2 linked regions of the Caenorhabditis elegans genome follow. The gene in region 1 interacts genetically with each later gene. Each region holds a gene or a part of one and is shown on either strand. Other genes may lie near its edges.

Evidence for each region.
Region 2: of sym-3 (region 1) and fbn-1, changing one enhances a phenotype caused by changing the other (phenotypic enhancement), as found in Caenorhabditis elegans (one study listed by BioGRID).

The regions. Positions count from the first base shown.
Region 1 is NC_003284.9:5,774,317-5,779,658, forward strand, and holds sym-3 (C2 NT-type domain-containing protein), read left to right. Parts: upstream 1-1,934; 5' UTR 1,935-1,969; coding exon 1,970-2,017; intron 2,018-2,094; coding exon 2,095-2,196; intron 2,197-2,643; coding exon 2,644-2,757; intron 2,758-2,903; coding exon 2,904-3,100; coding exon of another isoform or gene 3,101-3,116; exon of another isoform or gene 3,117-3,144; intron 3,145-3,146; coding exon 3,147-3,277; intron 3,278-3,774; coding exon 3,775-3,913; intron 3,914-4,118; coding exon 4,119-4,305; 3' UTR 4,306-4,562; downstream 4,563-5,342. Other genes in the region: sft-4 (Surfeit locus protein 4 homolog), read right to left, coding at 4,993-5,137.
Region 2 is NC_003281.10:7,623,526-7,628,435, forward strand, and holds the start of fbn-1 (EGF-like domain-containing protein), read left to right. Parts: upstream 1-1,860; coding exon 1,861-1,936; intron 1,937-2,416; exon of another isoform or gene 2,417-2,468; intron 2,469-2,686; coding exon 2,687-2,789; intron 2,790-3,270; coding exon 3,271-3,377; intron 3,378-3,427; coding exon 3,428-3,765; intron 3,766-4,060; coding exon 4,061-4,349; intron 4,350-4,563; coding exon 4,564-4,797; intron 4,798-4,846; coding exon 4,847-4,910.

The sequences.
Region 1 (5,342 bases):
TCGCTCAGATTCAAAGATTCAAAGCATTTATTTAAAGCTAAACTATGCTTGTTGGTAAGACTACTTAAATATGCATTTTCACAAAAAAACATTCAGGTATGTGATTTCTAAAAAGTGATGTTTGACTACATTTGAAAACAGAACTGTTGTTGAGAAACAGTTTGAATTTTCAAAGGTCGTCTAGAACTTTCAAAACTAATCCATCAAGTGTTAGATCAGATAAAAAAATGATCAGAATTTTTGTACAACTGAATTGAATTTGAGCTTGAAAATTTTGTATTGTAATACAAGATATTCCATGAAAGGTAAAAAATAGTACTAATTTTTACAAAAAACAATTATTTTCTAAAATATGAAATTAAAACAAAAAAATGTTTTTGAAATGCACTTTTAATTTAAAAAAAACTCGCTTCCCACAAAAATCAAGTTTTATATTTTCATTATCAGTGTGGCGTAAAATTGTTTAGCTCTTATGCTACCACTTATGCACGTCGGCTCTTAAATAGATTTTCTGAGTTAAAAAATTGATTTTGCCCCAGAATTTTTTTAACTGTTGGAATTGTATAACATTACTCATTTAGCAGTAGAGGCCTAAAAAGAACGCGTTGTTTATTTATTTTATAAAGTCATAATTGCACTTTATTGCAAATAAAAGATGAAAAACGCAAGTGGGGAAACGATGAGAAACTATGATTAAATATCATAACATGTGTTTTTTTTCGAGTCAAAAAACAGGAAAAACGTTTCACCACTTTTTTCAAAAGAGTATTTTTTCCAGTTTCATGGTTAAATTATCTGGGAAAGTTGTATATTCCGACATCGTAGAGGTTAGGACACACGGCAGTGCTTTAGATTTCTTGAGAAACTCAAAATAAAAAAAATTCCGCTTTAGCATTGCCCGTACTCCAACTTTATTAGAGAATATACAACATTGTAATACTTTTTAAAATTACAAAGTGACAAAATAAATATGGTCTTTCTCTGTGAAACACATGTATTCTGGTTTTTGCAAACGTCAATTGTGTTCCAATGTTTTGTTTCATCAATTTTGTTCTGTTACGAACAGATATTATAGCGAAATAACCCTACAAAAATGTTCCAATTTTACAGTGCGTCCAACTTCTATAGCACCCCCTCTAATTGAAATGTTGAAGCTTTTCCCTAATTTAAATGTTGAAAAACCTATGGCTTCAAATTTTTATATTGATATTTTAAAAATTACGAAAATAATGCCAAAATAACGAAAAAAAACTACCAATCTACTTCTATTGCATGTTTTTCGTTAAAATCATTGATTTTATTGTTGTCAATCTCTTCAGTAAAGACTTCAAAATTTACAAGTGTTGTTTAAAACAACATAGTTTTTGATTAAAATCTACTGGCTAGTTAGTTTTCTTTGAGAAAATGTTCTATGAATTATTCTATCGGAGCTGCCTTTCTTTTTCCCTGACGCATTGACTAATTACTTGTTCAGCTCACGTAGTCTCTCCAAAAATCCTCATGTAACACAAATAGGTCTCCGTGGGCAACATTTAGCCCCTCTCGCTGCCATCTGCTGTCGACGTCTCGAATCTCGACGTGTCTCTCCGTCCCGTTGTCCATCCATATGTCCTCCTTTTCAATGTGTCTCCCTTTTCCTAAAAAAAAACATCGACCCAGTGTGCTGCTGGCGCATTTCTCGATCTGCGCTTGGTGTTTTATTTCTGTTTTTTTATTTTGTCAGAAAAAAATGCCGCGGGTTTTGAATTTTAATGCACAGTTTACCGCGTTTTGTATCACTTTTTTGTTGAACCAATTTTAATCATGAAATTTATTAACCAAAAAGATAAAATTTGCTTTTATTGCGGCACAGCACGCAACATAGCGTAGCTGATAACAAATTTTTAACAATTAACTTTCATTTTTATTGTAATCAACAATGAATTTCATTTCAGCAAAGCTCGTCTTCGTGCCATGGTTATGGAATAAAATGGCTTTCATCAAGCGGAAAACAGTCAAGTTTTCAGTGGATTTACAAGTGAGTTAAGATTTGTTTTTTTTAAATATAATGTAAACTTTATATAATTTATATAAATTAATTTATAAAATTTTCAGGTATGTCAACTATCAGATGTTCCACTAGTGAATGCCACTGTTTTTGGAAAAATGCGGTTACTAGATGGAGGATCGTTTGAAGAAGCTACGGAACGAGTTGAAGTAGGTTTTTTATTTAAAAATTCACTCATTCATTAAATCAGGAGTATCCGATAAAGATTTGTATTTTATTATATTTCAAATGGTAGAAAAATCGGGATTTGTAACGAGACTACTCAAACGTTACTCGAAAATTTCATTATCGCAATTCAAAATTTCCAACACTATCTAATTTTAGCTAAAATCTCTATTTTTGTCAACATCTGAGTCCCAGCGGTAAAGAATACTATTACGAAATAAAACATATCTTCGGTCGCTGTGACACGAAAAAAATGGTCAAAATTAGAGTTTTAGCTAAAATTCGATTTTAAACATCCACAAAAAATCGAGAAAGGTTCTGTGAAGTTTTGTTGTGTTATTTACGTCCTATTTGAGTGTAATAAGATCAAAATGATTTATCGGTTACTTCTTTTTTTTTAAATAGCCATAGTGAAAATTTATTTAATTCAGGTGAAAAACCATAGCGCCTCATTCAACACACGATTTGTATTCTGCTGTCGGATTCCATGTGATCAAACTTCGGGAACACTGGAAAAGTGTCTGTGCCGAGTTTCTATAAGAAAAGTAAGGAGAATTTGGAAATAAATTGGGGTTACTAAAATATACTCACAATATGAAATAATGTTTATTTAAAAATACAAATTTTCATTTAAAAAAACAACATTCTAAACTTATTCCCCATTTATCTTCAACTTTTATCCCATTTTCAGGAACAAAAAGGAGGAAAATCGTATTACAAGCTCGGTTTTGTCGATATCAACCTCTCCGAATATGCAGCTTCCGGTGTTGAAGGAATCTCGAGGACCTATCTTTTAAACGGCTACACTAGCAATCAAAGATTGGATAACTCCAAAGTGTGCATCAAAGTTGCAATGACACATCAAAGTGCAGACCCATTCTTCAGAGTGTATGTTCACATATAATTTTCCGTTTAATGAACATGATTACTTTAGGCCTCGCCTGTCAACGTTCGGTCCACGACAAGATGGAGCTATTGATCAAGATGGTTTTCGAGCAGACGATGAAACTGATTCCGAAGAAGGAACATCGTCTCATCCGAAGCTTTCCAATGTAGATGTTCTAGGTAATTATTTCGAGATTCGTGAATCGATGTACTCTAAGGTTATTTCTATTTTTGCTTAATGCAGGAGCTGTAGATGTGAGGAGTTCACGTAAAACTGAAAACACTCTCTATTTCACTTAAAAATACATGAGTATTCCGTTAGCAGTTGCAAAAAGCTTTTCATATCATTGCAGTCTGTTAAAATTATATATGTCTGAAAATACTATTAAATTAAAGAAAACAAATAAATTGGCAACTGACGCTTAAAACGTTAACAATTGACTCCCGCGGAAGTTTGAAATTATCTCCTCAAACTTAATACATTTTTACTTGTTTTTATGTTATAAATATTAAATTATGAGACCCATAATGTCAGTTTCAATAATTTCCCCGACGCATTCTGAGCCTAAAATTCAACAACAGTGAGATTATAATTTATTTACGTGTTGAATGATAAAACAATACAACTGTTTTGTTCAAATTCCTTTTTTTGTGAAAATTTGACCAAAATTATTCAGAAAGTTCATCCGCCGCTAGCAACTCGCAAGTCGACGAACCAGTTGTCGAACGACGAGTAATACATCCACCACAACATCCAACCTGCCAACTACGACGATTTAGTCAAGATCGATCTGCTCAAAAAATTCAACACTCCAGGTAAGGTGAAACTTTTTTGAAACATTAAAAAAAAAGAGTCATGGCGAGTTTGACCTTTTTGATTCATGTTAAGAAGATTAGTGAAATGACCCAAATTCCTCTACTCTACTGTTTCATGTTTGAATTGAGTCCCATAAAAATAATTGAAAATTGGTCAAATATTGATTCTGAGCATTTCTTTTCCTAATTTTTCAATCATTTTCAGATTCGATGCAGACAACGTGATTGACAAAATCATTGCCGAATGTCGAATATCGGAAGATGAAGTGGAGAGTAACAGCGGAGGCTTGGTGCTCGAGAAATTCTTGGATAAACATGGAAAGCCACTTGTCAATCCACGTCAACCCGTGAAACGGACGTCTTATGTGGCTGAACATTTCAATGATGCGTGAAAAAATTTTCCCGTTTTGTTCTAAATTCGAAAATTTTCTTATTTCTACTACTTATTTACTTTGAAACTATGTGCATCATTTTGATGACTGCCTTTTTCATCTTACAAGCACTTTCTGGTTTTTGATATACGGTTTCTTCGTCTCATGTTAATTCTATTTTGATTGTATTACCAATGGGTCTTCTTTTTCAAGCAGCTAAATTATTTTCACTGTTCGGGTGATTAGAAAACTTTAACAAATAAAATGATTGTCTGACAGAAAAATGTTTATTCTTTACGGGAACAAAACTACCAGAAGAAAATTGGGATAGGCCGATTAGAAAGTAAAGGAAAGTGGTGGAAAAATGACTGTTTTAGTTGTGATTCGTGTGAGAAAAATAGAAGTTTGTAGGGAGAGTTTCATTGGAAAACAACCCATATAGTCCATGAAGTTTTAGGGAAAGGAAGAAAATGACAAAAAAAAATAAAAGGAAATAGATATGAAGTTGTAACATTACGACAAGAAGCATTGGATGGGAAACCGAGGGAAAACGTTCTACTCTAAATATATTGATTAAAGGAAATATCGAAAAAATCGAAACAGATTCATAAATTATATAAACAATCCAGGTAAATTTATCGGGGTGAGTGAGTGTAATGCAATGATTTGACATAGAAATGCGTATAAGTACTGGTGTTAATGGGGTATCTACCATCTTTTCTTGTAGTCATCGACTGACACTCCTCCTGGTCCGTAGGCAATGACAAGGAGAAGTCCTCCAATGACGGACATGGTTTGGAAGAAATCGTACTTCATGAAGTCTCTGTAGAAGCGGTCGGAAGGAATGGTCCACCTGAAAAATCAATGTTTCAATTATGGTTAATCAAGCGTCAAATTGTTATAATTGGTTTTTTTGTTTTGATTAAAGTGGTTATTCAAGTAATTTTGCGAAATGTATTTTAATACATTTTTGACGTCACAGCTGTATTAAAATACAAGTTTTGTGTATTTCAATACAGTTGTGACGTCATTTTTCTATACTTTTTAATTTTCCGACA
Region 2 (4,910 bases), on another chromosome or scaffold:
CTCTGAGTTTCTTGATTGAAAAATTGAGTTCCTCAAAGTTTCCCTTTTATTGCTCTGAAGGCATGAGCTAAAATACATCCTGAAGTTGAAATCGAACATTTATACTAGGTTTTCAGATTTTCTCACAATTATTTTTTGATTAGTAAAAAAAACTAAGCATAAACTTCACGGTTGTATGATCTCCCTAGTTGAAGCAATCATACTGTACATGAGAAACCTTCTTTAATTTAGTTTGAAAAAAAACTCCTATATCAAAATGGCAGATTCGAAGCCCAAAGTTTTTAAATAAGGAGGTAGGATATTCCCAATTTAATGCTCAAAGTTTCAAAATTTGGAGCTCAACACTTTTAGATCACATTCACTTATAAAGCTTGAATATTAAATGTACAATTCTAATAATTTATTAGTTCAAGCTTATCTTTGATCCTCTCCGGTGATTAAAAGTTGGTTGCCGGTCGAAACTTAAAAATAATCTCTCTTCCAAAAAAAATTGCACAGTCTAAACTTTTTAATCTTCGTGTTTTGGTTGTTGCGTCTATCCATCCCAGAAAAGATGTGTTTATTCCACTATTTGCACATGCAAAGAAGAATGAGACCGTAACCCCATTAAGCAGTGTAGTCCGTGGAATCCCCCCACATCTACTATTACTACTCAATCTCAAGTGTTTTGAACGGAACCGAACGGAAATGCATGAAGAAAATTTTGAGGCGTGGAGAGAGTTTGGTGCGTGATCCTCGTAGTTTTTGCAACTGAGTTTTGCATGTGTTTTGTTAGTTTAAAAGGTTCAAAAAGAGAAAGATGGTCGGAAAGTGTAAGGGTCAAACAATTCAGTTATATGTACTTGCATCTGTAGGCGTGTGCACTTCGAAAACTTTTATGCTCTAGGCATTATGTTTGAAGATTCAGAACATTTTTTCATCTCAAAATAATTTGACCTAAAATTAATTTTTCTAATGATTTTTTATATGTATCACTAACAATCTGTGACAAATCTACAAAGCCTAATTTAGTGTGAGCTGCCCACTCACAGGTTCTTGATTTTGAACAGCTCATTGGATTAATGAACAAGCTAGTTTTAATGAACTGTAAAAACGATAGAACTGTGTTCTGAAAACTGAGATTAATCTATGTAGATTAAACTCTAGATCGATAGAATTCAAACAAGATCTTTGAATTGTTTTAGGCTTCCAAGATCTTCTGGATGTTTATCGAATGAAAAATTTAATCTTTACTTTGATGCAGAAACGGTAATCAAAGAACCCGGGAAGGCGTTAGATACCATTTTCCGCCTTATTGCTTCACCCTGGCAGCTACTCTTACGGTTCATATCTCGTATTTTTTGTACGTTTCAAATCATGCTCAACAATATGATTATGTGGTTTGATTGGACTCGCAGTTCAAGCCCAGCTCTTGTCCTTATCGGCTCTCGCCCTTATAAAATCTAAAGAAAAGGCGTGTGAAAGACACCTCTATAACGCCTCGACCGGGTAATAATTTGTATAAGAATATTTAAAGACAAAAACGTATGCCTGTCAGATTTTAGTTATCATATCTAGGTCAATTTGCTCTTTGTACTTTTATTTTCATAGACACAGCATACGCACTTACCCATCAAATACCTTATCTCTGCTATTGGAATAATCAGATTCCATTTTTCAACTTTTATCCAATTACAGTTCCATCACCTTTTCGGTAGGTATCACACTCCCATTTACATATATCGTTTTTTAAGTTCTATCTTTTTCTCTCTCCCGTTTCCTTTCGCCGCGTGTTTTTCTAATTGATAGTCATCTTTCTTCTTCGAAAGTGCAATTTGACAGGAAAAAGTGCAGACTTGTTGAAAATTGAATTTTGCAGGAATGTCTACGAGGAGCCGGGGCTCCTGCTCCTCACCATGGTTCATCACCCCGTTGGTGCTACTAGCCCTGTGCAGAGGTATTGGTTTGAAAATATTACATAATACGGGTTTAATACGGGGATAAAAAATTTCTAATTTGGGTCAAGCTTAGCTAAAAACTTGCCAAAAAATCTTGAGCAAAAAGCTACGCTAAGAGCACATTGAACACTAGTATCTGACATTTGGGGATTTAATTCACAGTAAGTGATGCAGATCCAAAAATTAGAACTAGATAACCAACAAATTTTACCAAAAGCTTCATGAACTCGACGTTTTGTTTCAAAATCTTTTACCTTTGATCTACAGCCCACCTAGTAAAACACCATGAAAGCAAACTCATAAAACTGAAACCATATGGCTTCACCTATGGATTTTTACAAATGTGTCATTCAACCGTTTTCTTGATCTTCCGTTTTTACAAGTAGTTGTACCCACTACTTCATCTTCCATCTCACTTTTTCGGTTACTTTTTGGGGCGAGAGCGGAGGTGCCCCGGTGCCGCCTGTATCCAGCCTGCCAAGGTCATCACTGACCCATTTATGACGGCGGGAAACAACATGTTTGATGATTGGAATTGCGGTGGTCTTGTGTGTTGTTGGTTAAGAAAAATGACATGACATGAACAATTGGTATTTGGGAACAGATAGATTAAATGTTGGGAACTTTTACGCAAGCTTTGACACTTCAAAGACTGCCCATGATTCACATTTTACCTAGAGTTAAAAAACATCCAACTTGCTCAGATATAAAATAGAAAACAGTTTCAGTAAAGTTGTTTTTTTTTTCAGGGAGTCATCAAATCGCTAAAAACTTTGTGAACTCATCAACTCCAGATCTTCGACCCACATTTGTTGTAAATTTCGATACATCAACAGTTATTTGTCAGCACAGGTGAGCATTTAGTTATTGAAATTCTTAAACTGATTAAACTAGCAAGTTATATGGATGTGAACATCCAAACTAGATTGTCTGGAAAATTTAAGAGATATCTTGTTTATCAATTCTTTGTTTTCCAAATTTCTAAGTTAAAATTTCTCTTGAATTCTGACAGTAGTGCCCAAAAACAGCCAATTAAAAGAAAACCAAATGGGTCATCAGGCAAGAAAACAGGCGTATCAAAAGAGTGACACAGAGGTGTCATAAACTTTTTTTTGGAACACCGAAGAGTTGTTAACCTTGAGAGAATAGCAACACAAAAAATCAATTTCATGGATGATTGAAAAGAACAAAGTGTCAAATGGGTGGGAGAATATCGAGCAAAGTTGCAAAATTTGAATTTAGAATGATTTTGTGACCTCGAAAAAAGACCAAACTTTGTGGGATCAAGGAGAGAAAAAGGACAAAAAACTGGTTTAAAATTTTGAATTTTCAGCTCCGATCCAACAGACCTGCATATTCATAACATGAGCTCTTTATGCGATGGAAAACAAGATTGTTTTGTGAATCCTGCTATGCACGATGAAGTTTTCCCTTATTGTGGTTAGCCTTTTTTTTTTCAAAGTGCAGGTTTCCAATCAATTTTCTTTCAGAACACAAATGCCAGTCAACATGTAGTGGGAAAGGAGCGTGTCTCTACGATGGAGCCAAACCTCAATGCTATTGTGATTCCGGATTCTCTGGTTCAGCTTGTGAGCTTCAAGATAAGAATGAATGTTTGGAGCATCCTTGCCATATGATGGCTCAATGTCAAAACACGTTGGGATCCTATGAGTGTCGGTGTCTGCCAGGATATGAAGGAAATGGACACGAATGTACTGATATTGATGAATGCTCAGATAAACTTACATCTAGATGCCCAGAACATTCTAAATGTATCAACCTGCCTGGAACTTACTACTGTAATTGCACACAAGGGTTCACACCAAAAGTAGGCTTTTGCCATAATTATCACAAACATAAGAATCTATTTTTAATCTAAAAATTCGAAAAACAAGTACTTGAAAACTTGAGAAATGAGACTTGGAATTCTTCCACTTTAGTCATGCCATATATGTATATATATATATATAAATTCAATTTCATGGATGATTGAAGAGAACAAAGTGTCAAATGGGTGGGAAAGTATCGAGCAAAGTTACAAAATTTGAATTTAGAATGATTTTGTGACTTCGAAAAAAGACCAAACTTTGTGGGATCAAAAAGTATAAAATCCTAATTTCCAGGGAAACCAGGGATCTGGTCTTGACAAATGCGCAGATATCAACGAATGTGAGACTGGAGCCCATAACTGCGACGCAGACGAAATCTGCGAAAACTCAATTGGATCATTCAAATGTGTCAATAAATGCTCTCCCGGGTATGAGCTAATTGATGGAAAGTGTGAAGATGTAAATGAATGTGGATCTGAGAAACTTCATAAATGCGATGTACGTGCTGATTGTGTCAATACTATTGGTGGATATGAATGTGAATGCGAGGAAGGTTTTGAAGGAGATGGAAAGAATTGTCAACGTAAGTGTGGGCATTCCGTCAAACTACCCTGTAAATTTTGAAATATTTTGGTTGTACATTCGTCGCACATTCTTGCACTTCTAGCAACTTTTTAATTTTTGCGAGAACGTGAGGGTAAATACGAAATAAATTTCAGAAAGCTAAGACAAAGAATGAAAAATTATGCGTTTTAACAGCACTGATTTACCTAAATATATAATTTCCACCATTTCAGCAAAATCGTCTTGCCGTAAAAACTCTGCAATCTGTGATAGACACGCATCTTGTCACATTGTCCTAGACATCTGTGACTGTAAAACTGGATACACAGGAGATGGAATCACATGTCACGATATTAATGAATGTGATGCCAAAGATACACCATGCTCAGATGGCGGAAGATGCTTGAATTTGGACGGAGGATACGTTTGTTGCAAAAATGGACAAGATGACGCCACATGTATTAAAGGTGAGTTACATTTTGCCCAAATTACTTTAAGTAAGCTCATAAGTTTCAGACCAGGGAGCATTTTGCTCTGGAGGATGTGGTGACAACGCAATTTGCTCCAATGCAACTTGTGC